4 linked regions of the Styela clava genome follow. The protein of the gene in region 3 purifies or fractionates together with the protein of the main gene of each other region. This does not show direct contact. Links are inferred from orthologs where the notes say so. Each region holds a gene or a part of one and is shown on either strand. Other genes may lie near its edges. The genes, in order: ubiquitin-conjugating enzyme E2 H-like, zinc finger MYND domain-containing protein 19-like, armadillo repeat-containing protein 8-like and E3 ubiquitin-protein transferase MAEA-like.

Evidence for each region.
Region 1: the proteins of armadillo repeat-containing protein 8-like (region 3) and ubiquitin-conjugating enzyme E2 H-like purify together in Homo sapiens (affinity purification with mass spectrometry; 3 studies listed by BioGRID and IntAct, with this or other methods). This does not show direct contact. The link is inferred for Styela clava from reciprocal best matches to the Homo sapiens genes ARMC8 and UBE2H.
Region 2: the proteins of armadillo repeat-containing protein 8-like (region 3) and zinc finger MYND domain-containing protein 19-like purify together in Homo sapiens (affinity purification with mass spectrometry; 4 studies listed by BioGRID and IntAct, with this or other methods). This does not show direct contact. The link is inferred for Styela clava from reciprocal best matches to the Homo sapiens genes ARMC8 and ZMYND19.
Region 4: the proteins of armadillo repeat-containing protein 8-like (region 3) and E3 ubiquitin-protein transferase MAEA-like purify together in Homo sapiens (affinity purification with mass spectrometry; 5 studies listed by BioGRID and IntAct, with this or other methods). This does not show direct contact. The link is inferred for Styela clava from reciprocal best matches to the Homo sapiens genes ARMC8 and MAEA.

The regions. Positions count from the first base shown.
Region 1 is NC_135258.1:13,913,899-13,922,177, forward strand, and holds the start of ubiquitin-conjugating enzyme E2 H-like, read left to right. Parts: upstream 1-5,118; 5' UTR 5,119-5,289; coding exon 5,290-5,342; intron 5,343-7,475; coding exon 7,476-7,552; intron 7,553-7,946; coding exon 7,947-8,021; intron 8,022-8,279. UniProt on the Homo sapiens protein: Accepts ubiquitin from the E1 complex and catalyzes its covalent attachment to other proteins. E2 ubiquitin conjugating enzyme that transfers ubiquitin to MAEA, a core component of the CTLH E3 ubiquitin-protein ligase complex.
Region 2 is NC_135254.1:73,003-81,334, reverse strand, and holds the start of zinc finger MYND domain-containing protein 19-like, read right to left. Parts: upstream 3,222-8,332; 5' UTR 3,059-3,221; coding exon 3,008-3,058; intron 1-3,007. UniProt on the Homo sapiens protein: May be involved as a regulatory molecule in GPR24/MCH-R1 signaling.
Region 3 is NC_135258.1:9,308,195-9,316,032, reverse strand, and holds armadillo repeat-containing protein 8-like, read right to left. Parts: upstream 3,261-7,838; coding exon 1,161-3,260; 3' UTR 689-1,160; downstream 1-688. Other genes in the region: protein archease-like, read right to left, coding at 4,630-5,097; serine/threonine-protein phosphatase PP1-gamma catalytic subunit B, read right to left, coding at 7,464-7,838. UniProt on the Homo sapiens protein: Component of the CTLH E3 ubiquitin-protein ligase complex that selectively accepts ubiquitin from UBE2H and mediates ubiquitination and subsequent proteasomal degradation of the transcription factor HBP1.
Region 4 is NC_135258.1:5,334,270-5,342,139, reverse strand, and holds the start of E3 ubiquitin-protein transferase MAEA-like, read right to left. Parts: upstream 3,130-7,870; 5' UTR 3,048-3,129; coding exon 2,994-3,047; intron 2,003-2,993; coding exon 1,817-2,002; intron 1-1,816.

The sequences.
Region 1 (8,279 bases), about 4.6 Mb from region 3:
CGACCAGCAGTGGTTCAAGAATGACGAGGCGACACCCCATACATCAAATCAGACGCTTGCTTTCCTGCGAGAGAAGTTACCAGTGACATCCAGTAGGCACCTTAATTATCGGACTGAAACCTCCTAGAACTTGATATGTACGGAGTTCGAAAGACAATTTTTATCAGAACAATCCTCAAACGATTGGTGAACTCAAGGCTGCGATTGCAGGAATAAAATGAAGAAATACTCAAAGAAGAGGGATTGACAATGTTGCAAAAAGAATGCAATTGCCGAGTAGGGCATTTGGAACATATTCAAGAAACAACATAATTTTTGTGCAAAACGTCCTAGATTTTCCGAGACTTTTGGGTACAAACATACGCAAGCAGAAGTTGAAGTTTAGACAAGATTAAATAATTCACTCCATTTTCGTATAAGTAATCGAGAAAATGATGGTCTCGTTTTTTGAGGACCACGCTGTATAATACTGTTTTTAATATAATTCGGTTAAATATGCTGCTTATGTCACTGTATTCGATATTTTAAACTTACGCAACACAAATGATAAACCGACTTTAAACAATGTCAGACACAACATGATATAACAACAGGCTAAATTTTTGCCTTTTGCCAATTTATGAATTACATATGTAGCCTTATTATTCAATGACCCAAGAAATGAAAATGAACCAGTTGAGTCGCAACATGGAGATGGTCCTATATGGCGCACGTCAGTTCTATCAGATACTCAGCTCTCACATTTTGCTCTTAACAAAACTAAAATTATAACATAAGGGTGTTGTACTTACACTACCGCTTCAAAGCATCATAGAACCCGCTAGTAAAATGAAGCTGTTATTCAAAACAGTAAAACGAAACGTGCAGTGCATGGTGGATGAAGCGTATGCTGTATGCGCCATGTATTATTGATTCATTGTGAAACAATACAGATTTAAAAAAATCATAATACCTATTCTACGTTAAGCGAGAAATTTCCAGCACCGAAATCACAAGTAAACTAGTTTGAACCAAAACATAGGAGTAAATGGCATGAAATATCATACTACTTGTGAGTTCCCGTTTTGATGTCAGCGCCCCTAATTGCCCAAATCGCCATAAGCGCCCCCCAAGTTAGGGAAAACGCACACAAGGGGACGTTTCCGCCCACTTTGGGAGCCGCTGGTTTATATTACCATAAAGGTGCTCCCGAAGTATTCCTACCAAGATGGCGCATAACATGAACATTGTGTTATAAAATAATTGTTTATGTTACCAAAAAGGTGCTCCCGAAGTATTTGCATCAAGATAGCGCACAATCTGAACATTGTATATGCACCATGTCAGGGTTCAGGATGTGCGTAATCTTGGTACGAATACTTCTAGAGCGACATTATATCTGAACAATAAAAAAAAACTTTATGTCTCAAAACGAGCTTCGGCCACGATTTTGCCGGACTAAGAGTATTGAAGTACTTGACAACAGATTAGAATATTACTTGTTACCCCCGAATACTGATTAAAATTTACATTCAAAATCGGAAAAAATATTGCCAAATCATTCATCTCAAATACTCGACCCAAATTTGCGTTTGATAGAAAGTAAACTCAAATACTCCTTTAAATAAGAACAAAGACTAATATATGCCTCCAAAGTTTATTGTCTCCAAATTTAATCAAGGAGTGTCGCATGATAGATGTTATAGAAATATTTTATATAGAGTTTTTATATAGAGCGTGCACCCTTAAAAACTGGTACCTAAACGTCGTTGGATTTTCCAGTATGACTGTACCCAGCCAGGCCAGCCTGCTGTCACTGTGCCAAGGGGATATTCACTTTGGTCGTTGCTATGCTGTTCGCTGCACATGGTTACCCCTGCCGTACTTGACAGTGTCCGGAGTCTCTTTTTTGTAACAAATTTGGTTTTTGGAGTTTAATATTTGATATATTAATTTATATATATATTGTTCGTCTTATTTCTATTAAACTTGTATCAAAGTTAGACTCTTATCACAGGTGTCGCTGCTCGATAACCAACTTAAAGTTTATGTTCACTGTGAGTGCATTTTCATTTGGATGAAAAATAAACTACTGACTGACTGACTAAACAATAAAAAGACATGGTTTGAAAGATAGGATTGGTAATCTGATTTGAGGAGAAATAACAATAAAAAGAACTCCCAGAGGTCCAGAAGAGAATAAATTTGTCACTTCACATGCCTTGGTATAAAACGTAAAAAATGAACGGGTGTGAAAGCGTGCACCTTTTAATACTTGGGATGAATTTTGATTTTGAGCAAATTTCCGTCGCTACGGACGCTATCTAAGTGTTTATTTTTCATTCATTTTTTTCATTCATTTTTCATTCATTCATTTATATTTCATTTTGTTGATATTTGATGGACCTATGATTTTACACAATTTGTTTTAGAATGGTCGATTCACTATAGTGAAAACAAGTCGGTACTCGTTAAGGAGAATAGTGGGTCAAAACATTTTTATCTGTAAGCATAAACTTTGTAACAAAAGTTGATAGACATTTGAATTAATTTCGAAACGCTTTAAGCAGTCATTAACAACACGACAACAAAGTAAAATATCAAAAAATGCTTCAACAAGATGAGAGTGAGACCCGTAGCTGTTTTGCCCATATTAATTGAAAATGTATATTTAATGAAACATATGTAATGATTAATTATTTCAATTCATGTTGCTTGTCCCCGAAGTCATTTTTTATTATTATTACCGGTTCGCCGAGGTAGAAAGATTAGAAACCTATGGTACTGGGCAAAACTCCACTACCTTTCAATGTTTACTATTTCTAGTTTCTAGATACATATTACCTGTATCGTACATCGGAAAGAGTTGATAACCAAGCTTCAAGGCAGACAAGACACTCAATTAGCACTCGAACAAAAGCGAACCAAACATTTTGTACTTGATAAAGTCTCGCAGATGAATTGGTGGTATGATTTATCAATGGTAGGCGTCTGAACCTTTTTTATTCTAGAAGTGACAGTCAATGTTTGATTCAGCATCATTCAATTTGACTTCTACCTTTCGGGTGATCAACTTATATTTCTAACTTCTTGTTTCCCATTACCTTCACCATAATTTTGAATCAGTTTGAATTTTTGTGGTCTCTTCTCCAGTCGTGCACACTTGGCACTGGCATGTGCATATTGGACTTCTTGTCGGTTGTGTTGGCGAATATAGTGTTTCCATCGTAACCATACTCATATCTAAATTGTAAGAGTTCTTACTCTGTTAGGCGAACTTGACAGCACTAATGACAAGTATTCCAGATGGTGGTAATCATTATAGCAGTTATGTAGAAAAACGTCTGCAATGCTCGCGAGAAAAAAAGATTATGTCAGTTAGGCTCTTACGCTACTGAAAAAATTATATAACCTGTAGCCCACATTTTCAGAAAAAATTGTATAAGCAACATAGTTTTTAACTAGGCTACATAACATTGCATCGTTTCATGTCATGATGTGTTCAAATAAATTTATTTTGAGATTTCCAAAACAATAATATAATATGTTTTGATATGCACCGAACTAAAATGAGTCATCCTTATTCAGGTGTAGAATTTCTTACCCATATTTTTATGATCTACGTTTTTGATCTAAAATGTTTGTCTCTGCGGACATCAAGACTGCATTACCCGCGGCTACCCTTCCACAGTAAAATTATATGATTAGCTCTTTTTTAATATTGTATGTTATGGTTTTTTACTGGCTGGATAAAATAAACTTGACTTGGCTTGACAGAACCTTAACAAGGGCATGGTCAACTCTCATATGTTGTTATTATTATTCAATATATTCATATATCTCCATAGTAGTCGGTACAGGCCATTTTCCAGTTTGATTAGCAACATTTGAGGTTCCAACACGTTGCACACCTTTGACGTCACTGCAACGCTACATCATCAGCTGATTTCTATGACCCCGCGACCTCACCAAAACAATAATATTCTACTTCGTTCTCGATGTCCTTTGTTTGTGAACGTTGTTGCGTCCGTTCGCGTTGTTCGTATCGGTATCAAATGTTTTGTCGGTATGTTGTTCAGTAGAGAAATGCAACATCTAGTTGTTAACACCATTATTATAGTTGTTGATTTGTAAATACAGTGATTGCGATTGCGAATCGTCTTCGGTAGGACAACAAGAAAAGGGCGTTGATGAAAAATCACAACAATAAAAAAAATCATTCCCACCCTGCTGCAGAGTCTGGGTGTCAGCTGTTTCGTGCAATACTGTCAATGATGAATATTCTGACACCTATTTGAATACATGGATATAACATTATTGGTACATACCTATGCAATTTACAGATTTATGTAATTTTGTTCATGAACTGTCAGACAACAGACAATGCTGGAAATATGAATACAGGAATATGGCACCATACCGTACTCCTTGTATTCCTATACTCTGCCATAATTCTAATATTATTGTAGTCAAAAAAGTTCTGTATATGAAAATGGTGATAAAGTGCTGTAGTGAGAGCAAAGTCAGAAAGTTGCTATGTTCCTGTATTTTCATATGTCAGTACTGCAGTAAGTTCAGAAGTTGTAAACGAAAATGAATGATTTTTGAAATACAAGAATATAACTTGTGAAAACAGAGAGAAAGCTTTAAGCATGAAAGCATCTTGCATTTTTTATTTGCTATTGACAGTTATGGATTTGCGAGCCATGGAACAAGTCATACTGTCATAAGATTCTGTAGTTCAATGTTTCAATTCCAGATTTTTTGGCATAAATGATTCAGAAAGCTGTTGCTGATCAGGAATTGCATGATGCACTCTGCAATGATTGAGAACCCCCTTCATTTACATAACAACATAAAGAGATCTAAACATGTGGCTCTGTTATAACAGTATAAAGTCATACTGTTATATCTGTATAACTGCATTGGCCAAATCCACATATGGATATTTACACCATGACGACAATGCCTTATAGTTGAGTTTATTTGAAGCCCTGGTTTGGTGCTATTCATATTCAAACAATTATTCATTGATTTCGTATATACTGGAACTGGTACATTCTGTTTTGCCGATATATTTCAAAAAATTTGAAATAATTTTATTTTAATACTTATCTAATAAATCAAAAAAACCTTTAGATTTTCACAGGTATTTGACAACATATTCAGCAAACATTGTCTTGTTGCTAATAAAATATTCTCATTGTCTTGACAACAATTTGTGAAAAAAAGTGCATTGTATAAAGAGACTGAAGAACTTGCAATTGAGAAAAGAAAATCTTTGTACCACTCAATTGATTGACGGCAGCCATGTCTTCACCAAGCCCTGGCAAACGTCGTATGGACACTGATGTTATAAAACTGTATCCTTTTATTTGAAATAATTTGAAAATTTTTTGCATTATTTTATTGTGTTCCGTGTTTTATTTGAAGGTTATACATTTCATTCCAGCATTGAATTTGATAATAAAAATATTTCCAATTGATCAATTGATTTGGCTAATAAACCAAGTTCAGCATAGCACGAAATGTATTGCATTCTATTATTTGTTTAGGCTTTGTTGGATTTTCATTTTTTAATTTAGTTCAGTCGAATTCACCTGAAATTAATTCAGCATCTTTTTGTCGGAAGTGACTGTAAACAAATATGCATGTAGATGTAATCTTTCATGCTGTAAAAATAGAGTGCCAATTAGCAACTACTAACTTATGATACCAAGCAACAATATACGTAGCACTAGTGGATGCTGGCATCGCATGGTATGGCCCTTACAGCTTCATTACGAGCAAACTCTACACTTCAACAAAAGTCGGTGTCCTCTGTACATGGGGCTAGTCTGATTATGATTTAAAAAATACTTGTAATCATTGAGTATGGGTTTTAATCTAAATCATCCAAGGCCAAATGGAGAATTTATTAACAATTTAATATATCCTAATTGAGACTTAATGTTATTAATGTGCGGTGAACAAAAGCTAGATAATCTTTAAACTGATTTTAATCTTCTATGAGTCTCATTAATCGTTAAAAAAAATTTTCAAAATACAGAAAAGGTGATCTAAAATTATGTTTAATATATCCCCATATTCAATTAAAAAAACTAGTTTGAAATATTTTATGAAATTCCCTTTTTTATACTGATTGAAAACATGTACCGGTAACCTATTTCAAATTTAATCACATATTTATTTTGTTTTTAGCCTTTGTATATGGTTCTGCTCTTACATGTTTAGTTTGAACAAATGGAGCAGATGTTTTAATAACTATTATTTACGACTTGATAAACTGGTCCAAAGTGACTTTAATTACATGTATTTATATTGACTCTCGTTTGATTCATGGTTGTTATTAGATAGTAGATGTTATGACCCTCACCTTGTCATATGATCAGAATTTACCACTAAGAAGAATATTGATTTTTTGAACATTAACCAATCATCAGTTATTCTTTCAATGATAGATCAATATATCAGAGAAATTTTACCTGGGCAATAATGATATAATATTACAAGACAAAATATGATAGACCTAATAATTTTTTTAGAAATACTGAGTTCTCAGATATTTTTTTTCAGTTACAAAAAAGTCATAATATTATGAAGTAATTTTCACATACAACTTTGCTGTATAAGTTATAAAAACAAAAAAAATATCATTAAACTTGAATATCAAACAATTCCAAAAAGGCATGTAAATATTTCCAATTTCAAGAATTTGACAAATAGGCATTGCTGGACATAATTAATCCCTGATTAGAACCAGAGGAAACGTTGCTTGACCACATGACCTAGGTCTTTATACCATTTAAATTTCTATTTTACTTGTCTTGATCTTAAATACCATTTATTAAAATAATATATTAAGCATGTTATGATTAATAAAAGCTGAGATCAATAAAGAGTAACAGCTGTTATACAGGCGTGGTAATTAATCTTTCTTTGTCGCCCTTGTTAAATTTGATTATAAAAATCTTGTCACATGGTTGTATTTAGTCTAGGGATGGCAAACATGTTTTAGCTATTTTGAAGTCGAACATTGCAGAAAGGTTCTAAATGGAACTGGAATGGTTTTCAGTAGTTTATTTGACACTCATAATTATACCCAATTTAAAAAAATATATATATAAATTATTAAATGATTTCAACATAGCTTTATGATGTCACAATTATCCAGTCATTTCAAAACATGAATTTTATATTCACAACTGAAAGAAAATCCCTGTTTTTTTTAAAACAATAACGCTTAAGAGATGAGCTGTATAGTAGAACTCTGTTGAGATGAAGTAAATATCCTATTCTATTAAACTACACAATGTATTGAATGGTTAAAATAATAAATATTGAAGCAAATAATATTTACCATGAGCAGTTTAGTTCAATGAAAAATATTAGATGGACATATACCATTTCTTTTTGTTGGTAAAATAACATTCCATGACATATTGATCCTCTTTATATGAGCATCATTTCCTTAACTACATGAAACCAATTAACAGCATTGAAAGCAACCATGAAGTGACTGTACTGGGAGGACTTAATGAGTTTGTGGTGAAATTTTGTGGCCCACCTGGAAGTATGTTTATTATTATTCCATAACTAGAGCTTATGTAGTTACTTTGATAAACACGAGCCTTAGATTAACTGGACCTTGGTAGGATATTTCTTTCAATGCCCCAGGCTTGGTTTATAGGAATACTGATTATATTTGGCACAAAACTAGATTTCATTCTGATTCTAACAGTGTAGGCTTTGAATATATAATGAATCTGAGTGACAAAGAGTAGTCATAATCAATATAATCAGGACTAAGAAAAAAAAGCTGTAAATTTACTGTTTTTGTTGGGTAAACAATCAAAAATATCCACATCTGGGTAGCGGATTGTTTTCATATCACTTCCCAATCTGGGTATGAACTTGGTGGCAAATTAGAGAAAGCACTCTTAAAATTTCTATCTTTCATTTTCCAGCTCCATATGAAGGTGGAATATGGAAAGTTCGAGTTGATCTACCTGAAAAATATCCATTCAAGTCACCTTCAATAGGTAATAAGAACATAAGACTATGTTGAGAAAACTTTTCAAAAGAGTCTTCAAAAGAGGATGTAAATTGAAAACTATAGCATTAAATACATATCGTCCTGTTTTTTCATCTGACTTTTCACACAGTTTTGAGTTTTTATACTGTTTATTTTGATTTCTAAAATTCATTAAATAAGTGATTACCTTGCGAAAATGTGTATATCGGAACGGTTCGATGAACAAAAATATTAAGTTTTGTGATCAATGTGTTATACCGTACTA
Region 2 (8,332 bases), on a different chromosome or scaffold from region 3:
CCTGACTACACCATCGATATAATACGTCATTACAACGTCTTAATCATGCCATAGAGTTTGCTAAAGTATACCGTTACCTACGGCCGCGCGAAATGGCATTTGCACCTATGATAAAGAACTTTCTGATAGAAACGAGAGAAATAGATTGCTCGATGTCGAGTGATCGTCCGAACGTATTAGATGATAGTTTGATAATTATTGGATGACGAAGTCAGGTGGGGGTTAAAATTAACATACGCATAAATTATCATGCTACAACCCCTAGAAGTACTGTGAAAGCGCCTAACTTCGGACAAAATTACCATATTTTCATCAATAACTGTACAATATAACATTTATTGTCCAAACGACGCCAAAATTGCTATGTAAAACATTCGTGCAGTAATTAATATTCCCTGCAAATTTTGGGTTTTGGGTTTGGGTTTTTACTATTGAAATATTCTACTTTTCTTGCCATCTGACCGTTATCCTTCACAGCCCTAACTTCGAATAGCCATTTTCCTCAATGCAAAACTGCAACGCACAGAGAGAAAGAGGCTTCCGATGCGGGTGACCTAGTCACGTCGTTGCGTGAAGATAAGACGCTCGATTGACGTCGTAACATAAAATCAACGCCGCGACGACAACGCATTATTTGAAACTTTCATCGTCTTATAATGTTTACATCTTTCGTTCGTTATTTTCGTCAATTCAGATCAATATAATACCACATTAACCAACTACATATCTGATGTAAACCGTTTTAATTTATAATGAAATATTGTAACAGGCTTGTATTGTAAGTCTTTGAAATATTATCATTCTCGACGGATAGCTTTGTTGATGTTACGCTGATAAATCGATATCAAATATACGGCGAACCCAATTGTAAAGTTTAATCTTCAACTTACTCTTGTTAATTAACATTGAGATAGGTGGCGGGATTTTTGTTTGAAATTAAATGAATTTTTCACTTCGAGTGAATAAAATTCACCCAGGCTGTATTCAATAACTGCCATTTCGATTTCATAAAATAATTGTTAAGTCAGTATACATATAGACTGGAATTTTTCTAGTTTTTTTATATGTTCGATTTTTGAAGTCGAGTAAGACACGTATTCTCATTAAGTTGATTTTGGCATATATTCACACATGGACCGAACAAAATACAAAAATATTACACTGGAACGCCGTCTTTATCTAAACGGAAAATGCTAATTTGGCGTCAATGTCGGGCGTCAAAATTCATTTCCACGACCAGTGTGGCGTCGTGTCAGAAGTGAGCAAAAAATGATCTACATGAGATTGACGTTACTTTTGACGCAGCTTGGAATCTCAATAATTTTACGGAATTTTCAATTCAGAACAGAGGTTTTATTCAAATCTTCTACAACATCTTGCGATCACTCTGATAATGTATATACTTTGCTATCGCCCTCTACCGAATGATGGTATTTTGACGATGATAGCTTAATAAGTATGAGCGACGCTCTGCGCCGTTGAATACCAGACAGTCATTTTTTGGCAAAATTCCCGTTTTCTGACCAAAAAAATAATCATGCAACAATAAAAGAATTAACAATAGATGTATATATAACAGCGCTACCTATAATAATTGGAATTTGCAAGATACGACGCCTTTTAGACAAGATATGGTCGTTTAAAATTTTTGTCCTAAATTAGAAACTGTCCGAAGTTAGGCACTTTTACAGTACTTTCGGTACGAAACTACACTAGACCCGAGATTTCATGCTATACCCATAGTCAGAAAAAATTTCGCGATATTGACCAGGTCTTATTTTAAGGGGAGGCCTTATATTAAAATCATTTTAAAATTCGGGCCAGATCTTATTTTCAGGGTACCGCAGGTCTTATTTTCGGGGAAACGCGGTGGTACTGAACTTGAATATTGAAATACTGAATTAGTAAACAGAATGGTATATAAGTATATTTTGATTTTCCCGCAAAAAAATCATACACAAAACCCAAACAATGAACACACAAAAGATTGGGGAAATATGGGAAACTGGCAAAACTTTTATAAAGGTTTAATACATGTGTCAGTTCACCCTCATTCAACACAGAAACTTTTATTCAAAATAAAAAAGACAAAGACACGCATGGGTATCGTTCGTGCGTCAAACTTGTGTAACATAAACACTCGGTGGGTCCCAATCAATAAATACACTTTGATAGAATAGAATGGGGTCTCATGTAGTTTCGTACCTAACATATGTATTCATGTTTCAATCCTAACCCCCACCTGACTACACCATCCAAGAATTACATCATTACGACGTCACAGTGACATAATAGAGCCCTTCAAACTATACGAACTGCCATCCAAAACGCGCAAACGAGCACCCAGAATCGAACAGTTATTACTTTTGTTTTCTCGCCGCAACGACGGCCTTGGATTTCCCTTGCGCTTTGGTCGTTCAAGTCGCGATTTAACTTCTTGTATTGATATGCAATAGATGGCTGGTTCTAGCGGTCAGAGCAAAGTATAGCAATACTTCGTGTGGCGTAATTTGTTAGATATGCTTATCATTATTAAGTCGAAAGGTTTCGCCGATTTAAAAAAAAAAGATGGGTATAATTTGTAGAGCCATTTCAAAGCAAAACACAAGAGCAAGTATGGTTGGAGCCAATGCAGAAAAGCAATGGAGCCAATGCAGAAAAACTCTGCTCAACTACATCTGAGACTGTTGAACTGGAGCTATTGAGATTCATAAGCTTCCTGCCCTTACAATATGTGTTCTTTCTTGCCATGCACACATTGCATGAGTTCAACATTTCAATTCTTTTGCAAGAAAAACACAATATGTTACTTGTAGCCATATTTGTAGGTGAGAAAACATCGGTATCGGCCTAGTTTTAGAAAACTATCGGTACCAGTAGGTTCAAAAAGGCCCTAATCACAACAGTGCTTTTCCTACAAAAATATGGAATAAAAAACACTCTTTGGCGTAAAAATGTTGGGGCTATACACTTTATAAACAATATCATCCATATACATAAGACTCACCTTTCCGGCAACTCTTCCAAGTCTCACAATTCCCAGCTTGACATTAGCCATTCGTGGAAAGATATTCAGGCAACCCGATTCAGCGCGAAACAACCGAACAGAATCGACGAACAGCTGCCGCGAACTCTTTGGCGCCACCTACAAAAGCTTCTGTGCACTCTAGGCCAGGGCAGTGCTCGTCAATCTTTTCTGAAGTACGCCCTTATATCCTTCACTTAAAATCTGGTATACCAATCCTACATTTTTGTTGGCCAAAAACACAATATTTTGAAGTTATACATGTTTATACCGACAATATTTCTGTTATTTACTCTAATGAGATAGCCGCACAGTATGACGTATTAATCCTAATTCAACCACCCCTCGCATTAATGTGATTGAATCTTTACTCTAATTTATTTTCGTTATTTTTATGACAGCAGGAAACCCTTGTTAGGTGAGCTAGATTGTAGGCGTTCGGACGAGAGAGGAAACAGTATGTGTGCAGATACTCAGAAACTTCTATCGCCACCCTGACTTCAATGTAGGGTATTTTTTGTGCTTTGCCCTGTGCGCCAAACCTGATTGTGATTCAAGAAGTATACCAGAGAGAAATTCCGCAATAACAACACAATTGCCATCCTGAAGAATAAAATTATAGGAAAATTCAAAACCGAATGACATTTGCCCTTGCCAAACCATTTCCAGTTTCATTAAGAATGTAGCACAAATTCAATTTTAAAGTGGTTTTTCCAGTTCTGATGTTTACGTACATTTGTAATTAATTTGAAATAGAATCGACCGAGATCACATATATTTTACATGGAAAAAACCTTATATTCTCAAGATAACGAGAAGGCCTTTTTTCAAACTATGGATTCATTCACTCAAGGGAATGATGGATATGATTTACATATTTAGCCTATCCCGGGGAAGAGGAAAGCCGTTTTACCATTTAGGCACTAAACGCCGTTCTAGTAGGCGTGGCATAACCATTTTCGCCCCTGCTTACACTTTCCTTCTTCTCTCTTGCTCCCCTTCTTCTCTCTTGCTGCTCCTCCCCTCTCTCCGCGCTTGCTCTTGGCTTCCTCTATTTCTGCTGACCCAACCCTGGCTCCTCTCACTGGGCCTAGTCCATCTCTGAGGCTCCTCAGTCTGCCATGCCTTGCCTGCTGGTTCATCACTGAGATTCAGCCTACCCCGGTAGATGCCCTCGGCCGCGTGCCTTGCCTGCTGGCCCATACCTGAAGCTTCTGTTCACCTTGTTCGTTGCCCCTCAACTGCCTGCTTTGCTTGCTGGTCCACCCCTGAAACTCCGTCTATCCCGTTGGCGTATCTCTACAACTCTACCTTGTGGGGTTCGAACTCGGCCTCATGTTTGCCCATATCTCTACGCTTCCCCTGAACTACCGCTACTGACGAGGATCGAGTGGATCAGAATCTTACTTGATTAACAAAGTCACGCTTGGTAGCCCACGACAAGATTACCTCGAAAAAATTACGTTGTACACACTGTGGTGATTCCAAGCATGTGTATTCATGCCTGTGATATCCCGTTTTTAAATTTGTGCTACATTTTAGTTCACTCTTTTTTATCAAAAAAATGCGTTGATATGCAATCATAGCGACGCATAAGATAACAAATTTCTGACTGTGAATGAAGGAACACCAATGACATTAAACAACATGATGCGCAACTCCGGCATTTTTGTCCGAAGATCGTATTCGATAGCACGCTCCAATGCACATACTTGACGAGACGAAAACGAGCGGATGTGTGCTGCTTTCAAGGCGTAGCACGAATGGTGTTCGTGCCTGCTTTGACAGTTGTTGTCGATTTTAATGATATTTTGGAAAGTTAAGGTAAAAAGAAATCGAAAAAAGGTAAGGTAAATACTATTGTTGTATATCACACCCGGGCATCGCACTGTTAAGTACATGTGGGAAAGCCAGCCTTTGTCAAATACTACGAAGGTATTAATTCAGTACGGTACGTAGTTGCCCATTTGCCGAAATTACATATTTACTTACACCTTATGGTTTCAAATAGTTCATGCACCTCCAGTTAGATTTTTTTAATCAGTGAGGATATATACTCATTGTTGATTGCTGCTCATTGTAACATACTATTACGCATTCACTTTTATTTGCGTATTGAAGTCGTAGTCTGATTTCTCAAGTATTTGGAGCCACGAATGCTTGTAATTTTCTGACTAAACCCTTTTATTAGTTGGTTTATATACCAAACTCAGTAAAATATTTTTTACATAAAACATGAGATATTGGATTTATTAGCTTTTCCATTCTGAATCATATAGACTGCTTTATTTATTCTTAACGAAAATTAATAAATCTCCTCTCTTTCTTCAGATGTGAAAGTTGTGGACAAACCTGTCTAAGCATTGTGAGACTCCTGCAGCACAAGATGCAATAGCAGAAATAGTAAGTATATCAATCAAGAAATTAAGCCGACATAAAGCAAAACTTTCAACTATTCGTCTAATCTCAATTTTCTATTATTTATTCACAGGACAACTATAGCAGAAGGGGAGATATCAGAAGTCTGGCGACATATCAGTGACAGTGTGATTCCAAGAAATATAATTAGAGTACTCCATAAATGTTTGCAATAGAAAAACAACTTATGGAGGCATGCAAAGACATTTGACCCTCCGGTAGAGTTGTGTATGGCCCTCACATCCTGCAGGGCTTAAGGAAAATAACTAAAAATTCCAAAGCGTAATATTGCATAAGCGGTCTTATTTATAAAAAGGCACAAAACACGCCAGACATACTTAAAACAGCTTTGGAAAATGAGGATTACGGGTAACTCACTGCACCTGTGTTATATTTAGTTCATCAACTTTTGGTAGTACTATAGAAGAAATTCCGGAAGGGGTATAATCATCATTCATGATAAAATACTAACATATATTTTTTGGACAACTTCAATCTAGACCAGGGATCTCAAACTCGCGGCCCCAAAGAACTTCCAGTGCGGCCCTCAAATGCTTAACAATAATTGTAATAGTATTTTGGAAGTTTTTTTTTATCTTAATGTAATAGATTTTTCAAACCTTTTAAAGTGAAATTGAATATTCACACAGAAAACAATTTACTGAAAGTAGTTTTGGAATATTAATTTTTTTTGTCCACATTTTGACCCAATTAGGAATATACACACCAAGCTAGCAAACGAATACTTGAATAAAACACTTGAGTGATTAAATTAAACGCAAAGTACATGAAGAAGGTGGCATTTTCGAAGAAAATGGGAGTTGCAACATTTCTGCTTTTCACAAAATTCTGAAGCACATTGTTTAATTTGTCATATTTCCATCAATACAATGAAAAAACAGAATAAGCTCAGCAGTCAATATGAAAAATTCGAAGACCAACTTCGAACAGAAAATTTCCATGTGTTTGTATATTAATATAATTATACAACGACTTAGTTACTAAAAATCAATATCAATAATAATTCAAGCAATCCTATGTCACGCAATGTGGTGCGAAATGTCTTGTCGAAAAAATCTGTCATTTTTTTTTTTACTGATCTATACATGAAATGATAAAAGTAACTTTTTTGCATTACCGGAATTAATTAAACATTTGCACAGATTAACCCATGATCATGTGGCCTCGTAAGTTAGAGTTGGTACTATAAAATCATTTCAGCCTGGCCTTAGTATGCTGGTGACACAAAAACGATGCCAAACGTCAGGACAAATGTAATTATTAAAACATTGAGTTTATACTGTAGTATTTTTGTTAATTTTAGGTTCATATATTTAGATTAAGTTATTTTTAGTGTATGTATTATTCTTTCCTTATTCAAAGCTTGTTCAAAAATGATTTTGATGGTTGTACATAGAATTTTAGGATTTTTTATAATAAATACAGTAACTTGCAAATGTTGCAATAATAGTGGAATGCAAATATTAATATGTAATTGCATTTGAAATTGAAGAAAATAATAAAACTTAATCCAACTGTTTAGTTGCATCACAATATATGTCACAAACTAAAACTATCTTAAAAATATCTTTTAAGTATACATTATCAAAAACTGTTTGCGGCTCTTTTTACAATTTCCAAAATGCAATGCGGCTCTCGAAAACCCATGAGTTTGACACCACTGATCTATTCTAGACGATTCAAGCATTGCTTTGGGAAATCATATCACTTCAATTAAATTGAAATAATCTCGCTATATTAAATACAAAATCGTTGCTATCATAAAGGTAAACCAATTCAGCCACTCGAAATATATTGGCCTTCACAAAGCAATGGAGGCAAAATTGAGAGTTCATGAGCTATGAACATTTGTTCTTTTCTTTGTCTTGAACTTTTCATACTCCACAGCCCCTATTAATTTTATTTTATTTTAATTACCATGTGATGGTCATACATATCTTTAACTTGTATTTTCTGTCATGATGTATCATCTCAATGTGCCAAACTATTAATTAGTGTGCATATTTTGCTTCCAGATGACATAAATGTATTTTCTTGTTTATTACCTCAGCTTGGAGTATTGACAAGAAAAAGGTGCCAGTAAATTAGATAAAAATTTTTTTAACTCTTTGTTATAATCAGAATTCACAATCAATAGGAATTATAAACATCCAACAATCAATGAGAATTATATGCGAAATCCCTGAGCATAAATTTGTCTAAAATCGGAGGAAGGCAAAAAATATAGGTAGTTTCCATCCACACAAGCATTTCAAGAAGACTTGCTCGAGTCAAATTAAATGAGCATCGTCAGGTGATCGGTAAGGCTGCAAGTTGAATTCAGCCCTGCAACCTCCTGCATAGAAGATAATATTAATTAGTGGGCTATGAGCTAAATTCCTGAATTTAAACAAACCTATCTACGATGCATTATGTACCAGCAATGTTACCTACGATTAACTGAATATGTAATATGTCTAATAAATTCACCTACAAAAGCAAGTTCGATAGGTGCAAACTTTGTGTTATGGAATTGTATCACAGCACAGTTTTGTATGACACCCTCTTCAAATGAAATTTCAATGATTAAGCGCAAACATTAAAATTACTAACTTTGAATTTTGTCATTATCTGCAAAATGTTCCAAACAAATCTTTCGGCTATCGCGTTTGTAATCTTCTCTGATAAAAAAAAACGTCTGTGATGTCCAGAATTGCTCTTTACAGCTTGCCTGCCATTCCAGCTTTCCAAGTGAGCAAAACTTCTTAGATATAGAGATTATTTTGTTTCGTTACAGGCGCAAAAAGGCAAGTACTACACGTAAAAAAGACGCCGAGTAGCAAAAGCGAGTGGAAAACGGACGCGAAAGGCGACGAGAAATATGTGCAT
Region 3 (7,838 bases):
AAGCTACACTGACAATGCATGTGTAGTAAGTACTTAGTTTCAACACTAACCACCTTGGCCAGTAGAAATATGCCAAATTCGGATATTTCAGACAAAGGAAATGTATTTTAGGGTTATATTGAGCGTATCATCACTCTAATACAGTCATAATCTCCTTGCTTTACATGCAGAGTTGAAAATATAGAATGCACACAACCTACACAAAAAAATTTTCTTGCCTTGCTCACAGTTTAATCTGGGAAAGCAAACCACAAAAAATCAATAATGTCACACAAATCTACTTAGACATGTTATTGGAATCTGTATGAACCTGTCTCACCGCAAATCAATAATCATTCTTGCAATCTTATTTGACTAAACTTCCTGGTATTAGAGTATATCCTTTGTTAGTTCACCTTAATAACAGATGATTGCATCAGCCCTGTGAATACAGCACATTATAATTGGAGGGAATTACCAAGCGAAAAGTATTACGCATTCTAGAAATAAAACTCACTCTGTGAATACCACAAGGACTTACCATGTATGTGCTGAGTTTACCACCAGATAATAAATAACCGAAGCAAGGATGATTATCAATGAAAAACTTCTTCCATTGAATAAACCTTATACCTAGTCAATGGAATGACATAAGCGACACCACTGCTTTAGTACTTTTAGAGATTTAATATTATAATAAAAGATAAATATACTTAAATTTTCCATCTAGGTATGATTATAGGGAAATAGATATCGATAATTTGGTATATATAAATAATGGTATACTTCATTTTATCGAAGCTATTTGCCTTGTCAAGAACTAGTTTTGTGTACTAAGTAACAAACTGTACTGTCATGAACTTGAATACCAGAAACTTGTGTGCCATTTCTATTTTGTTATAATGAAAGAACAACAATTCCAAAGTAAGAAAAAATATATCAAAAAGGTTTGAAACTTTCATTCGTGCATAAAAATTTTTTGTTCAAACGTCAATGACCAGCCGTCAAGGGACTAGTCTGTTGAACTCAAACCATGTCATAGGCTGTTTTCAAAAAGATTGCAGTTAAGTTACCGGTACTTCAAAAACTTATAAGCCTTCTATATATCAATAGCTGATTGTCAAGACTCTGGTCAATCAGTTGATTTATAATAAAAGAAACAGTACATTTGTTACCAAAAATTATTTTGTATTCTGAAACTGCTGAAGTACTTTATCCACTTTATCATAAAGAACAGTATCGTTAGTGGTTTGTAGATGTTGTAAGCTGTTCACTGCTCCCAACTCTATCATTACGGCCTGACGTTCCACACAGCCTGTATTCATTCTAACAAAATTGTATATAAATGATACTGAAGCCATTTGCAGATTAAGGTCAAAATGCATCAAATAGCTAACAACTTGCTGCAAAAGTTCCGTTTCATTCTCGAGAAAGGTCTTTACTGTTGACCCTCCATCCCCACCCGCCACACCTGCGAGTATGCACACTATATGGGCACGTATGCACTCGTACTCTGAATGTAAGCCAGGATGGCCAGTTCCAGCATCAGAGAATGCAGTTAAAACGTGTTTACAAGCTTGTATGATATTTACGCCATATAATGGCATTATTTTATCTTGATCCGAGCTGAGTATGTTACGCAGGAGTCCCAAAGTACGTATAATAACATCACGATCACTGTCTTGTAACAATTGCAATATCTGTTCAAAGCTGATCGCTTCAAGTATCTCTAATTTTAATGCTAATTCAGCATGGAACGACATATTCATAAAGATCCAAATAGCGTTCAGTCTTAAATCCTCCACATTTAACCATTCAGTTATGGTTTTTATCAATCCAGCTGCTTTCAAGTCCATTTTGCAGGGTGAAATGTCAAGCATTAGGTTGCACAATACACTGCTGATGATCTTTGTTTCATTAATATCTTGTGCAAAGTCCTGCATCAATTTTAATAATGATTTCCAAATACCTACGTCCTGAAAAGTTGTACGAAGTAGATGTACGGAGCGAGATAAACTTAAAAGGCATTTTAATGCAGCCGAGCGAACTAATGCACAAGGATCGATTAGAGATTCTGAAATGTGTTTTACCAGCAGCTCTGTGGCAACTTGTTTTCGGATATCTTCGTCATTTGAAAGAAGTGAGGCGTACGCTAAAAATCCTGCTCTGTGTAACTGTTTTCCATGTTTTAAAGCGTGCTTGAAGAATTTTATATTGTGTTCGTTCTTTGTTAAGCTTACTGAAGGATATTTAAAATAAGCTTCTAATTTGTGAGGAAACTGTTCACAGATATAAGCAAGTCTTTGCAAAGGTGGATCAACTTCGATCAAATACGCAAGAGTTTCGGCACTGCAAATGCGCTGATCAGGGTCCGATTCCATATCACACATTCTAACCAAACGTGTCAGCACTTTTCTGACAATAACATGATCCCATGAATCTGCAGTTAAAACCCGCATTCGAAACATGAAAGTCAGACATTTTGCAGCACGCATTTGAATATCCGCAGGTTGACTTTCATTAAGTAGTCTTATCACAATTTCCATAAGAGGTTTGTCCTTTATTTTTGACATGGCACATTGCTTACAGGCTTCTTTGTTTTTGTAACATAGAGCAGCTAGCGTATCCAAGGCCTTCACCTTAACCCTTCGAATGGGTGAAACCAATAAATCACCAAGTAAATTTATAATATCAAGTTTGATCAAAAGATCTTTATGGTTTTGTGCAATACAAGAATGAGCAATAATCTCGCATGTACATTCTTGTGTACAACTGGAACGATTGATATTTTCTAACAATTTTGGAATTATTTCAGAAGGGTTGATGTATAACAATTCAGTAGTTCTTTCAGTAGAAGTTATGATAGTCCGTAAACATCTAACAGTGGCTTCGTACAATTGCAAATCGTTTGTAGTAAGATGGCTACATAGAGTTTCCAAAACACGGTGATCTAATAAATGCTTTAAATTTGCATCAACTCCTTTTGCAAGACTGCCAAGTACAATTGCAGATTGTATTTTCAATTCCATCGAAGTGTTACTGTCCTCAATTAAGAAGACCAATCTGGGAACGACTCCTAGTACAATAAAATTCGTTTTTTGCTTTTTGTTTCCAATAACTAAGTTTTTGATTTCTTTTATGCCTTCAAATACTATACTCTCATCAGTATCAAATATTTTTCCAACGTAGGGCTGATACATTGTTGTTATCTCGGAGAGCACACCTTGAACCGCAACCGGGAAAACCTCGCTCATGTCATGTTGGTCAACTTCCATGCTCATTTTTCAAAATAATCAACTTATCTAACAACTGCTTCCTTCGCCTGTCGCCATTGAAATAAAAATCACAAAAAATTAGTTCACATTTCATACAATCTATGAACATCAAATACAATGAGAGAATAAAAGGCATGAATAAAGATGTGCACTAAGTCGTATAAAAAAAAACTTCATCAATATCTTAAAACTTGATAGAAGTAATTTTAAAAAGGGTCAAAATAACAGACAATAGTTTTAAAAGTACATCAAGGTTCGGGGCAGACGCTTCAACACAATAAACGTAGATCTTCTTGGACCATTGTTGACACTATTGCAATACAATTAAAGTTGGAAATATGTACAAATTTACCCAAATCTTATACCACATAGTCATGTCATAAAAAATTTATTCATAAATAAAAATGAACTAATAAATTATATTCCAGGCTATGACACAATGTATGTTGATAATTACATTCAAGAGCTTGACGTCAACAGTACTAAAAATATTTCCATGCTATTGCCAGGTACCATGAACTTACACAAGAGAGTTATGTCAGTTCTTGTGTTTATAATAGACACACGTACTATTGATGCAACTTGATATGACCATGGACGTCATAGCTGGCAGATATTCAAGTACAATTCTAATTTTGGAATTTAGCTGAAGGTTACAGTTTCAAATCATGTTCGTATTGATCACTAATTTGCATAGTATAGAATTTGTTTTTTTTAACAAGAAGAATCCATAACCAATTATGGGATTCTATTTTTCCTTGTAACTTTTGCACGAGGAAAAAGTATTATAGGCCAAAGATATTGAACTGATACACTACTCATTAGAACCTATTTAGTCAAGATTGTCTGATTGGTATCTCCGGGGAATGAAAGGGCATATGGTAATTGAGCGCTCAACCTTGAATGTATTGATCCAAACAATTAAAGTAATACATGGGAGAAGGATAGTTAAATACAGTGGTACCCAATTTTTCATTGATTTTTTGTAGGTATTGCCACCACCTAGTCAGCTCAATAGTAAGAAAGGAGAAAGCGAATGATCACGCATGCACAAAATTATGTATCAAATTGTGTATTATTAAAATCATAATTTTTTGTGATTTTCAATTTTTTAACAAACGAAAAAAAATTGTGAATGAGGTAGACTGACCAAACAAACATTTGTATAGAATTATTTTATGTTTTGAAAACGGACAAATTTAACTAATTTTGAAGAGTGATTCACATAAAAGTAAAGGAAGAGTAATGATATTCCAATCCCCAGTATGGTTTCAAAAGTTATAAAAGGGGTTCCGCAGTTCTAAAAAAAGGTTGAGAATTGCTAATATATCTCATAAATCAAGTATAACAGCTAAACAATTCTTCTTTCAAAAAACTATATATCAACAATAACAAAGGTTTGAGCAGAGCCGGGTGTTGTTAAGATCTCCATTGCACTGTATGTAATTGCTTTGATTTCAGTACCTTGTCCGCCATGTCTTTTTTCGTCGAATTCCTCTCCATATCCGACAGCTTTTATTTTAAATTCTTTCTCGTCAAACTCCGTTATTTTTACTTCCCTGGGAATATAATACGGTACACAAGACATCATAAATAAGAATTCGTCTAAAAACTTGTACAAAAGTGATTCTAAATCCTCTCCTTCGACTTCTATTTCTCTGTGTGATTCTGGACAAACACCATCGATGTCCGTCATGTAGTTGAACATTCCCATCGCAGCTTGTTCAAAAGCCTCTGACAAATCCTCTCCCCATGAGTGAATTTGTACATCTGCAGTGTGATCAAGGTACTCAAATTTTCTCGTCACCTTCTCAAATCTTGATAAGTCTCCCCCACCAGCCATCTTAGCTTCGTATTCCTCAATATTCGTTTTTGCAATCAGACTCGCTACTTTTATATTTCCGCAGATTGAGATTCATTAAATCTCCATTGTTCGTAAGTATTTTTCCTTTTTCCAACTAATCCATCATTACTCCATTATTGCTGCTATTACGACCTTATTAACATAGATAAAATCTAAATAATACACAAATACAATGAAGTTTAATGAACAAGACAAATCATGGGTACTGCTATCCTATAAAGAAATTAGATATCAAATCATATTCAACAAAGCATGTATCATTTACTAGATTACAATATCAATTACAGAATGAGTATTGTATTAAAAGGATGTTGATGTGCAAAAATTCATTTTAATTTTAGATATATCATTTTAAATATAAAATTTCACTGGGAGCGCCCCAAAAATATTTTATTTTTCAAAAGTTTTAATTTCATTTTTTTTCATATTATTATCCAAAAATTTTCATGCTTTAATGGATATGATTTGATACCTGATTTCCCAACGGGATATGTAAAGTTTTGAATCTTTTAACTTGTGAGAGAAATTAAAATGCAACAACAATGACTGGCCAAATTAAATAAAAGCACTTTAACAATGCGTAAGAAGATCAAACCAAGCTCGCTATAAACTACGTACGATGACGCAGTTGAATCAAGTGTGCACCAGCCAGAAAATAACCACTAATGACTTTAATTCATCGATAAATAATCATTTTTTACTGTAATGAATAGTATATTAATTTCAGCGCCAAATCATTCAAATAAAAACTTTTTGGAACATCACTAATCAAATCACTGAAAAACTTTGATAGATAATTTATGTGTTAGTATAATTACATATGCCAAACTGTAGTCAATTTCTGGCCAGCGGCATGGATCAACAGCACATAACTAGATCCCCATAAAAGACAGTATATGAATGATGATGAAGCGATGATAGGAGCAATTAACAGTCAATTAAACACATGTCACATAAAGAAATGTGCTATAAAATATATCACATATAATACACATCCTATCTCGTTACCTCTTTCCATGCATCAATATAGAATAATTCATTCAATAGATTAACTCCAACAACTTGATAAAAACATGTTAACTTGATAATCTGTTTGAACATTCAATTTTACAATTCTCGGAATCGTTAATTTTGATACAATCCCAGAAACAAATTGCATAAAATACGATCATGTCTGCTGTAGGTTCCATGAATTATGTATAAAGTCTTCGGGTCTACCAGAAAGATCAAAACACGCCAATTAAGAGGGAAAATCAACTTTGATTTAAAAAATTTGCCATGTTATGAAAGGTGGAAACAGTAATGACAATATTGAGTCAATGTGTCATGAAATACCATTTTTTTACTAGACTAAAGGGCTGTACATTTCGACAATATTTCAAAAACGAGTCAACAAATAACAGAAATGATGACAACTATAGTTTGTAGATGCTGAAATAAGTGAAAATTGATCAACAGATAAATTTACCACTTTTTAGTAAGTAATATTGATGGATATTCAATTTCGAAAGATAATTATGTAATTACGATACTTGAAAATTCAAATAGAATTCAACTGAACTGCCTAAAAATTAGATGCCAGGGATATGAACATAAAATAAAACCATAATGGCTGCATTTGCTTAAAAAGGGCAAAGAGGATCAAAAGGAAAATGGATACAGATTTTAATATATTCCTATAAATATTTTAGTAACTGACGTTGAATACATTATGATGAAATCGAGTTAAAAAATCATTTCTGAGATCTACGTCAGAATCATGAAGATATTTTCATCTTGATATAGTTTGAAACCTTTTTATTCGTAAAATTTGCCGAATGGTTAGGTCTCACGAGCATATGCATAATTGGTCTACAAGTTCTGTTTTTGAATAGTATTGGCATTCCATTTTACAAACGTGTACAATTGCTACCAAATGTATGGAAGATTGTAATTTGGACTTATCAATTAACTCAATGCCAGACAGTGCAAAGACTAAGCTGCTAGGAAGAAGGGAACAAAAAAGTGATCTGAAACAAACTAGTACAAAAAATGAAACAAAGTAAACCACTCATTATTGACACCTTGAACAGCAATTCTGTACAGATGAGTGTGCCAATTCGAATAGCTTTAGAAGTGAACTTTGTGTATCTGCTTGATGAACAGTTAACACAAAGACAGAGCTGTCAGTTTATTTGACCAACGAGTCACTGTCTTATATCCAATTGAGTCCCGTTGATCATTTGTGGCCGACAGTGGTAACAGAAGTCCAAATCAGCTCGATGATGGTAACATAGTCTGTGCATTACTAAAAACGGAGAAATCGATAATATTATACAAAAAAAAAATTTGGTTTAGGTAGCACATTATTTTCCTGCTTTTCCTCCTTTTCCTTTTCCTGCTGAAGCTCTCGGTGGTGTTACAGGTCGTCCTGAATTGATGCCTCCATAAGGGAACTTTTTCTTATCAGCTGGTTTGAGGATTTGGAACGAACACATCAAAGTTTCGTCGACACTCATCATTGCACCTGCATTATCAAATTCTCCACAGTAGTTGGGAGCACTGAATAATGTGACAAGTTGCCTTTTTGCAAAGAACTCGTAACCATCTTCCACAACTTGATGAGCTCGACAAATCAAATCAAGATCCTGTTTGTGAAGAAACTTCGCGACAACCTCCGCACCAAAAGTGAATGAAACACCCCTGTCATTTTCCCCCCATCCAGCAACTTCTTTGTCAGG
Region 4 (7,870 bases), about 4.0 Mb from region 3:
CAAATATTTCACCCTCATTCAAAGAAATCAATACTCATGATAAAAAATACAGCTATGCGTCTAGAAATGGATTAAAATTTAATACTTAAATTACTTTAATAGAGATTTATAGATAATTAATGATGTATGTACTCTGTGTGAAATTTGCTTGCTGATTCGGAGAAATAGAGATATAGAATATTATTAAAGGGAGTGCCCAAATATTTCACCCAATTTTATAATGACAATTAAAAATTTCTTTGTCTCTGTTTATTAATAGTTTTTATTGTGCTTGTAGTTTTCATTGATCATACCATAAAATTTATAAAAAAATTACAATTGTTATTACTATGAAATCGGGCGAAATATTTCGGACACCTTTTTGACTACGGTAATTTTGAATGCGTTTCAGTACTAAGATTCCTTTTGAACACCCATGGCCATAACACAAACTGCATTTTAAAATATCACGAAATGCTAATTTGAATCATACATTTATTATTTTTTTGAGATCACGAAAACTTTTACATTTTATTTACATAAACTGTTTGACATACAACAGGAAGAACACATTCCTAATGATAAACATCAGTCAGGAACAGCTGTTCAAACAGACATGATATTTGATAGGGCACAGATGTGAATTGCCAGTTGGCACACATTTCAATTAAAATGTTTTTGACAGCAAATTAACAAAATTAATAAACTGATGTGCCATTATAAATCAAGATTCAGAAAATACAAAAATGACAAAGTTACACACAAACACTAATTCATGATTAAAAAAAAAAAACTTTTTCAAATTGCACAAATTTCAATTTTTGAGAAAACAGCTCACTATCTTGGATGTCTTTATTTCTATATAAACAGCATATTCTTCACATAACACGCTTCAAATTTTTAATAATATAAAAAGCATGTTTTAAAACTTGTCTAAACTGCACGTTTTGTTAACCCTGTTTTGAAGCACAGAAAATAAAAAAGTACTTCCGTCAATTTAGTACCATTTTGGAATAAAACCAAGATGAGAGAGACAAATCCTTCCAACCCTACATTTTTCGAATTATTCCCATTATAGTAACTTGGCTCAACAATTCTTATCTTTACAAATTTCGGTAATTCGGTATATCTTGTTTTGTCTGAAGAAGTTACACTATGATCTAATGAAAACTCATAAATATACTTGCTATTTAGTGGAAAGCGATTATATTATTAATATTATTTTATTCAAGTCTTGCTGCACACTAACACAGATGTATTTCTGTAACCTTTCGTCTGACTGGAGTCAGATTTATTCAGACAAGCATGATAGTTAAGAAATGCTTGTCTGAAGAAATAAATGTTATTCTGTAGCAAGACTCTTGAATCAAATGATAGTTGTACTACTGCAGATGGTATAGTCCAGGGGTGCACATCTCAAATGAGGATATGTGCCAAATTTTTCAAAATAATCTTGTCGCGTGCCACGCACAATTGCGGTATTGTAAATTAACTCCAGTAAAACAAAGAAAATGCAATAACAATACATAATAACGAATATCTATTTATCGAAACAATTTAATATTGTCCTAAAAAAAACTGCTGATTTTGATATAAACGTGATATTTTAATGTATATCATAAATATTTTTTTTTACAAAACCGTTCGCGTGGCACGTTCGAGCGTAAGGCGTGCCATTAAAACCAAAGGATTCTTACAGTGAGGTGAGCTTATTGTTTGCATTTGTGGGCACAGCTGGGCATTTCAAAATATGTGATGATTTCAGAATCGAATCGTCAATATTTTTAAATTGAATTAAATCTCATATATTTGAAAAGTAGTTGTAATGACAACCCACCTTTCTTTTCATGCTGTTAATCTTTTCAACTACGCCGTCAAGTAACGAAACAACATTGCCAGCAGTCGCATTCCCTGTTTCAATGCATCTTTCTAAATCTGTAAGAGCCCCCGCTACGCCATGGAATTCTCTATCTATCGTCTTCTGAGCAGAGCGGAAACGCTTGTTAAGAATTTCATAAGGAACCTTAAAAATATAAGTTTTATTAGAATTATCAAGCAAGTGGGCCAAAGGCAAATTGTCAGACAACTTTGGCATTGCAAAGTACCGTAGTAGTCGAAATTTCTATCGCAGGGCCGGGTCCAAGCCTCATGTTTGATAGTAAACTATCCCAGACTCGCATCCCTGGATGCAAATAATTGATCCTGGAATCAAACTATATGCTCATTAAATTTGAACAAGAAGATTGTGGTAAATTGGGTAATCTATGATATGAAGCTAGGTCATCAATTCTAATATGAATGCGCTATTAGGAAGACTTGCCCGTTAGGATTAGATTCTTGCGGCCAGCCATCTCAGAGAAGATTACTAAGGCAGACCTAATCTTTTAAGATGTTATGAAGTTGGTTCACAACATGTCTCATGCTGGTTTGTTTATTTTAATCAGTGTTTATGTTAGATTTTTTGCTTTAATTAATCCACAACTGTACCAACACGATAAGATGTGATGGTGGCCAAGCCAGACAGAATAAAAATACTATTCCACATTAATTAAAATAAAATCGAAAAATTTAGGATAAAATATAGAGTTCCATACAAAAGTAGCAAAAAAAGAATTAAAAAAAAGATAAAGTATGGAGCCGCTTCAAGTACTGTAAATTTGAAATTGAATTCCTCAATTAGGATCAAAGCGACAAGAATCTAGCAAAGCGATTCACATATGTGCACTTAGTGACTTAGTATCCAAACATTCCAGGTGCTCATTCAGATAATTACAATTTTGTTATTTGGTCGGTTTACAATATATCTTAACAAGTTTTTTTTTTATATATTTTGATCAGTGTTCATTCAATTCTTTCACTCAATTTAATACACTCATAGGGGCCAAAAAACTACACATAAATTCAATAAATTCCTTTCAAAATTTAAATTTTTTTTCAAGACTTCCTGAACAACCTGTATAAACAAACAGAAGAGAGTCATAGAAGGAAGCACTGCAACAAAAACACAATCCCACCTTCAGTGTGACATATTCCTGTACTTTAACGTCCATTCCGATGGATGAGGTCATTCCTTTTTCATAAATTTGCAATAATATAGGTTAAATTAGTGATAGTAGATAAACTAGCTGTAAGCCTGTAATGAATCATTTTTAAGAATTAATAATGGATTATGGGACCACCTCTTACCAGTTACAACCATGACTAATCAATATTAAATAGGTCATAGCTGGTGACTCAGGCAATTTGCAAGCCTCATAAAACGAAATGGTAGCCAGTAGCCTATGATAATCTGAAATAATGACGGCCTTTAAAAAAACATTGAAAGACTTCCTCCACCATCCAAGTCAGTACATCTGAAATTATTACCTAGCTAGCTATTCACAGTGACTGGATTGAGCTTTCATATCTTTTTTAGAATAAACATGAAAAACAAATGAAATCTTTCTTCGAATATATAAGTTTGTAGCATTACCCCAACCAAAATGGATGTCTGCTGAATAGTTAAGTATTCTGAATTCTGTCACATCTTCAGTTTTTATTTTGTATATCTATGAGGATTCCTTTTTTAATGTATTTGAAACTGTTATTGAAATGAAAATGCGACAGCAAGCGTGACGATTAGCACAATGCACTCTACCGCCAAGCCAAATAATAATTGAAGCATTTCTGTTGAGTAAAAGGGAATCCTAACACAATAGCACAAAAGAGACGGTGTGTTTTATTTCTAAGTTAGTATGCGACCAAATCATAACAAAGTAAGGAGACTTTAAAAAACGGAAGCATGACAAATTGAATTTTTTATCACAATGTGTGACCAATTAGAAACTGTCAAATAATTTTCAAAACTCGAAACTGAAACAATATATAGCTTCTGAATATTCAGTTCAATACTTATTACATTGTTATTGATTTTACTGACTAATATAAGTAATAAGTTTGCGATAAAATATGACAAAACTTCACGTTATGTAACCACCATATTTTTTTTAAAACAATTGTTAAATGTGCAAGACCTTGGTCAGACGAAACATCACAGAAATAATTTGTGTCAGTGTGCAACAAGACTATTCAATCACTTACAAAGTGAGTCATTTATTTTTCTTATTCCTTGGATCACTTGGCGAAGTGTTGTCTGGGAAGTGGGAATACATTGCGTTTTTCAATGGTATACAAACTTTTAAACCCACACAAAAAGTTTTGAGTTATGATTTCGCTTACATTTGACTTGAGTTGTTTAAAAAAAATAACATACAAATACATACAAGACATTTAGGTGCTCCAGAAGTGTACGTACCAATATGAAGATATCTAATTTTGATCGCCTACTTCACATCAAGTTGTGTAAAGCATCTGGAACCTAGTGGGGTTATTCATTTGACTAACACAGAAATTCCCCGAACTCAATATAGAACTAAAATAAGGAAAATCAGACTAAAATTATGATTATGATCTATACTTGTATATATATCGATACTGCCCGGCCGTGATGAATAAATTTTCTTGAATATTTGTGGATCTATATCAGGGATTCCCAAACCAGGGGTCGCAACTCCAAATTGGGTCGGAGTGATAAGTAGGTAGAGTCGCAAACAGGTCATGGGGTGTGTGGGGTCGCTGAGTTATGGTAGAGGATGGATGTACATAACATCTAAGATACAACAAACCATGTTAAATTTAGCAGTTTTTACCATGGCTTACTGTAAAACAGGTCCATAGGCATTGCTCTATGCTTATGCTATAGAAAATGTAGGTGATTATTGTGACATCACTGTTTGGTTTTAGCTTCTTTTACTTATTACCATCACATCACATCTCAAAAGTCCAGTGAAAAAAGCTCTAAAGTTCCATGAAAAATATATATATTGACCTGGGGTCGCACTGGACACTTGAAAGTTGTCTTTGGGGTCGTCCTGAAAAAAGCTTGGGTACCCCTGATTTATATATATAGAGATTCCTCCGCAGTCAAACATAATTCGTTCTAAATTGGTATTCGACTACCGAAAGTTTTTTTGCTATTAGAAATATTGATGACTAATTAAGGTAAATATCCTAATAACCATCCTGCTGCGGCGAGGAGTCCAGCAATCCTCTTGCACATAATTTATCCCACAAAAGATTCAAACCCACACAGGGTAATCAGAGGTGTGGTGCTGAGGGTATTCAGGTATTCTTAAAGCTCAGCACAATGCACCACACCACTGCAGCACTGAGCCATGTCAGCATGTGACTGCACTTTGTTACCGGTAATTTTAAAGACATTGGATTATGCTTCGTTAAATTTCAATATGTAACGAATGGAATCAATACCGGGTACCTCGAAGCCGTTTTCCTGATCATATTAAAATAAACTGACAAACTGCTGCCAGTACAGCAGTATGGCTGTATGGTACCGTACCGCTGTACCGGTACAGGAACTCAATACAATACAATTTTATTTCGATCTTTCGTCTACAATACAGAACGCACACAAAAAAACAATACACAGAGAATGGCGACAGAAAGACCGGGAAAATGGGCAAAAACTAGAAGGATTATAGCAAACGTTGTAACCAGCGTCTGTGCCTATTCACTCACACAAGTCTGCAAGTGGAAAAACACATCACGACAATCTAACTTAAAAAAATTCATGAACACGAGAAAGTGATATTCACGGGCTAAGCTTAATTTTACAGTTGTATATAAATTTAATGGGTAAAAGTGGTATTGCGAAATAAGTAGAACTGTAGAATGAGAGTTACCGCCTGTGACGATGCATGTGCCGAGTTGCGAATCCTAATAATGAAATCTAAGTGATTAGGATTAGCTGCTGTTTTTCATATTCTTAGTAAATAAACAAAGCAAAAAAGTAAACAAACAAATGTAGAAACTCGATAACTAGTTTAGGGCGTTGCTTTTTGTTTAAGGAAATGCAGAAATGGTTAGAATTCAGAAAGTTTTCATTTATTAATTTATATTCTTGAGCATTTGCCGATGATGGTAGGCCATAAAATCAACTTTTTTCAACCAGTTTTACAAAGCCAAAATTTTTAGTATGCAGACATGTCGACTGATATCCTAAACTAACATTCCGTTTCTTTTTGTCGAACGCTTGAAAATCCAGCTGTGAAAATCATGTCTGACCATCAGACAACTTTTGTTTCTTAATGATTATCACGAGCTTCTTCTAAAGACTGGAAGATATCACATTCCCAGATAAGTAGACTAGATACCGGTACCGTAACGGCCCTAAGACGTAGCTTCGATCCCGATTTGAATCCCAGTCTCAAATTCTTCTCTCCACTCCCGGAACCTCTCTTTCCAACTAAAACACTACGGCGCGGCGGTGTGGCTCAACGGGCTAAGCGTTAGGAATACGCTCGCCACCGCACCTCTAACTACTCTGCGTGGGTTCGCAGGTTCGAATCCCATGCAGGGATGGTTATGTGCGAGAGGATTGCTGGACTCCTCGCCGTCGTTGGGTGGTTCACGTACGGTAACCGCTGGTCGGTTACGGCTTCCTCCACCACCAAGTCCATGCTTCCGAAAACAAACAATACAGTAAATCTAATCCCATACCCGACTTGGAATGGTAACCGGACGAGAGGCCGTGGTTCGCCATATGAATAAGCCGTCTTATCGGCTTTCCTCTCCCCCGGGATAAATATGTAAATCCTATCCTAAATCCTATCCTACCGTATATGTATCAATACAAACGTAAATTTCTGATCGGCGGTTAATAGACAAATTTGTTTTTTTACTCATAATGCTATAATGTCATAACGATCGTACCGGTACCGGTACCGGTACTGATGCTGAGTGATACACCGGTGCCGGTACCTCGACAAAGATAGACCTTAGTCAACATAATAACATAAGAGCAATTTGCGGCGCCGATAGAAGGGTGTTAATCAGCTGTTTCGTTGTTGCGAGTTAGCAGCTCCGGTGCGTGCCAACATAAACGACTCTTCTCTCTTTTTCCGGATTTGAGAGACCAACGTAAAAGTACACATAACACGATCAAGTTTTATTTAAAAGCAGCATTTTTTTCGTATAAGTGTGCCGTAAGCTTTTCCCCCAGATAATATGGCACAGTACGAATAAATAGTTTGGGAACTGCTGCCTTACGCGATGTCCAAGCAAGGCATTCGTTGAAGCTGAGAAATGCAACCTACGATACAAAGTTGATTACGGTAAGTCCAACGCCTCAACCTGTTGGCCATCGCGCTTTATAACCATAGCTATAGTATAGAGCTGACATGGGCAAACTACGGCCAGTTGGGTAATTCAATCTGGCCCGCTTGATGCTTCCTCAACCAAACTAAAATTTGATGTTTTAGCTAAAAAAATAGCTCAAGGAATTTATCAAAATTGCGATTAAATTTAGTTTTGGCACGAGGCTTATTGTTTTCCAGTTTTGCTATTGTAACACTAAATAGTTTTCATACAATGTTTTTACGTCACACTTGCATGGCCCGCCAGTATAGGCGGGCAAAATATTTGGCCCCTAGTTCAAAAACCTTACCCACCTCTGGTATAGAGCCTGAAAAAACTTGCATTCAACTCCCAAATATTCAGAATCTGATTCAATTCTGATGTTATAACAGTGACAGAATTTTTACCCAATGAATTTAATTTACACATGCAGACAAAATTAATTAGTCTTCTTCAACAATATTTTTTCTGTAACTGGGAATCTCACAGCTGTGCATAACTTTTGAATTAACAACAAGAACAAGGATAGATGTCCAGTAATTGTATTATTAACCTTCATGTGGATTGCCATAAGGTGACTTAAACTCCTATTACATGTGTAATCATCACCAGTTTCATAGCTGCCATGTTTAAATACTATATTCTCCTTGACCCCATCTAATTTCCACCTATTACATATCACACATGTGTAGTCATTAGG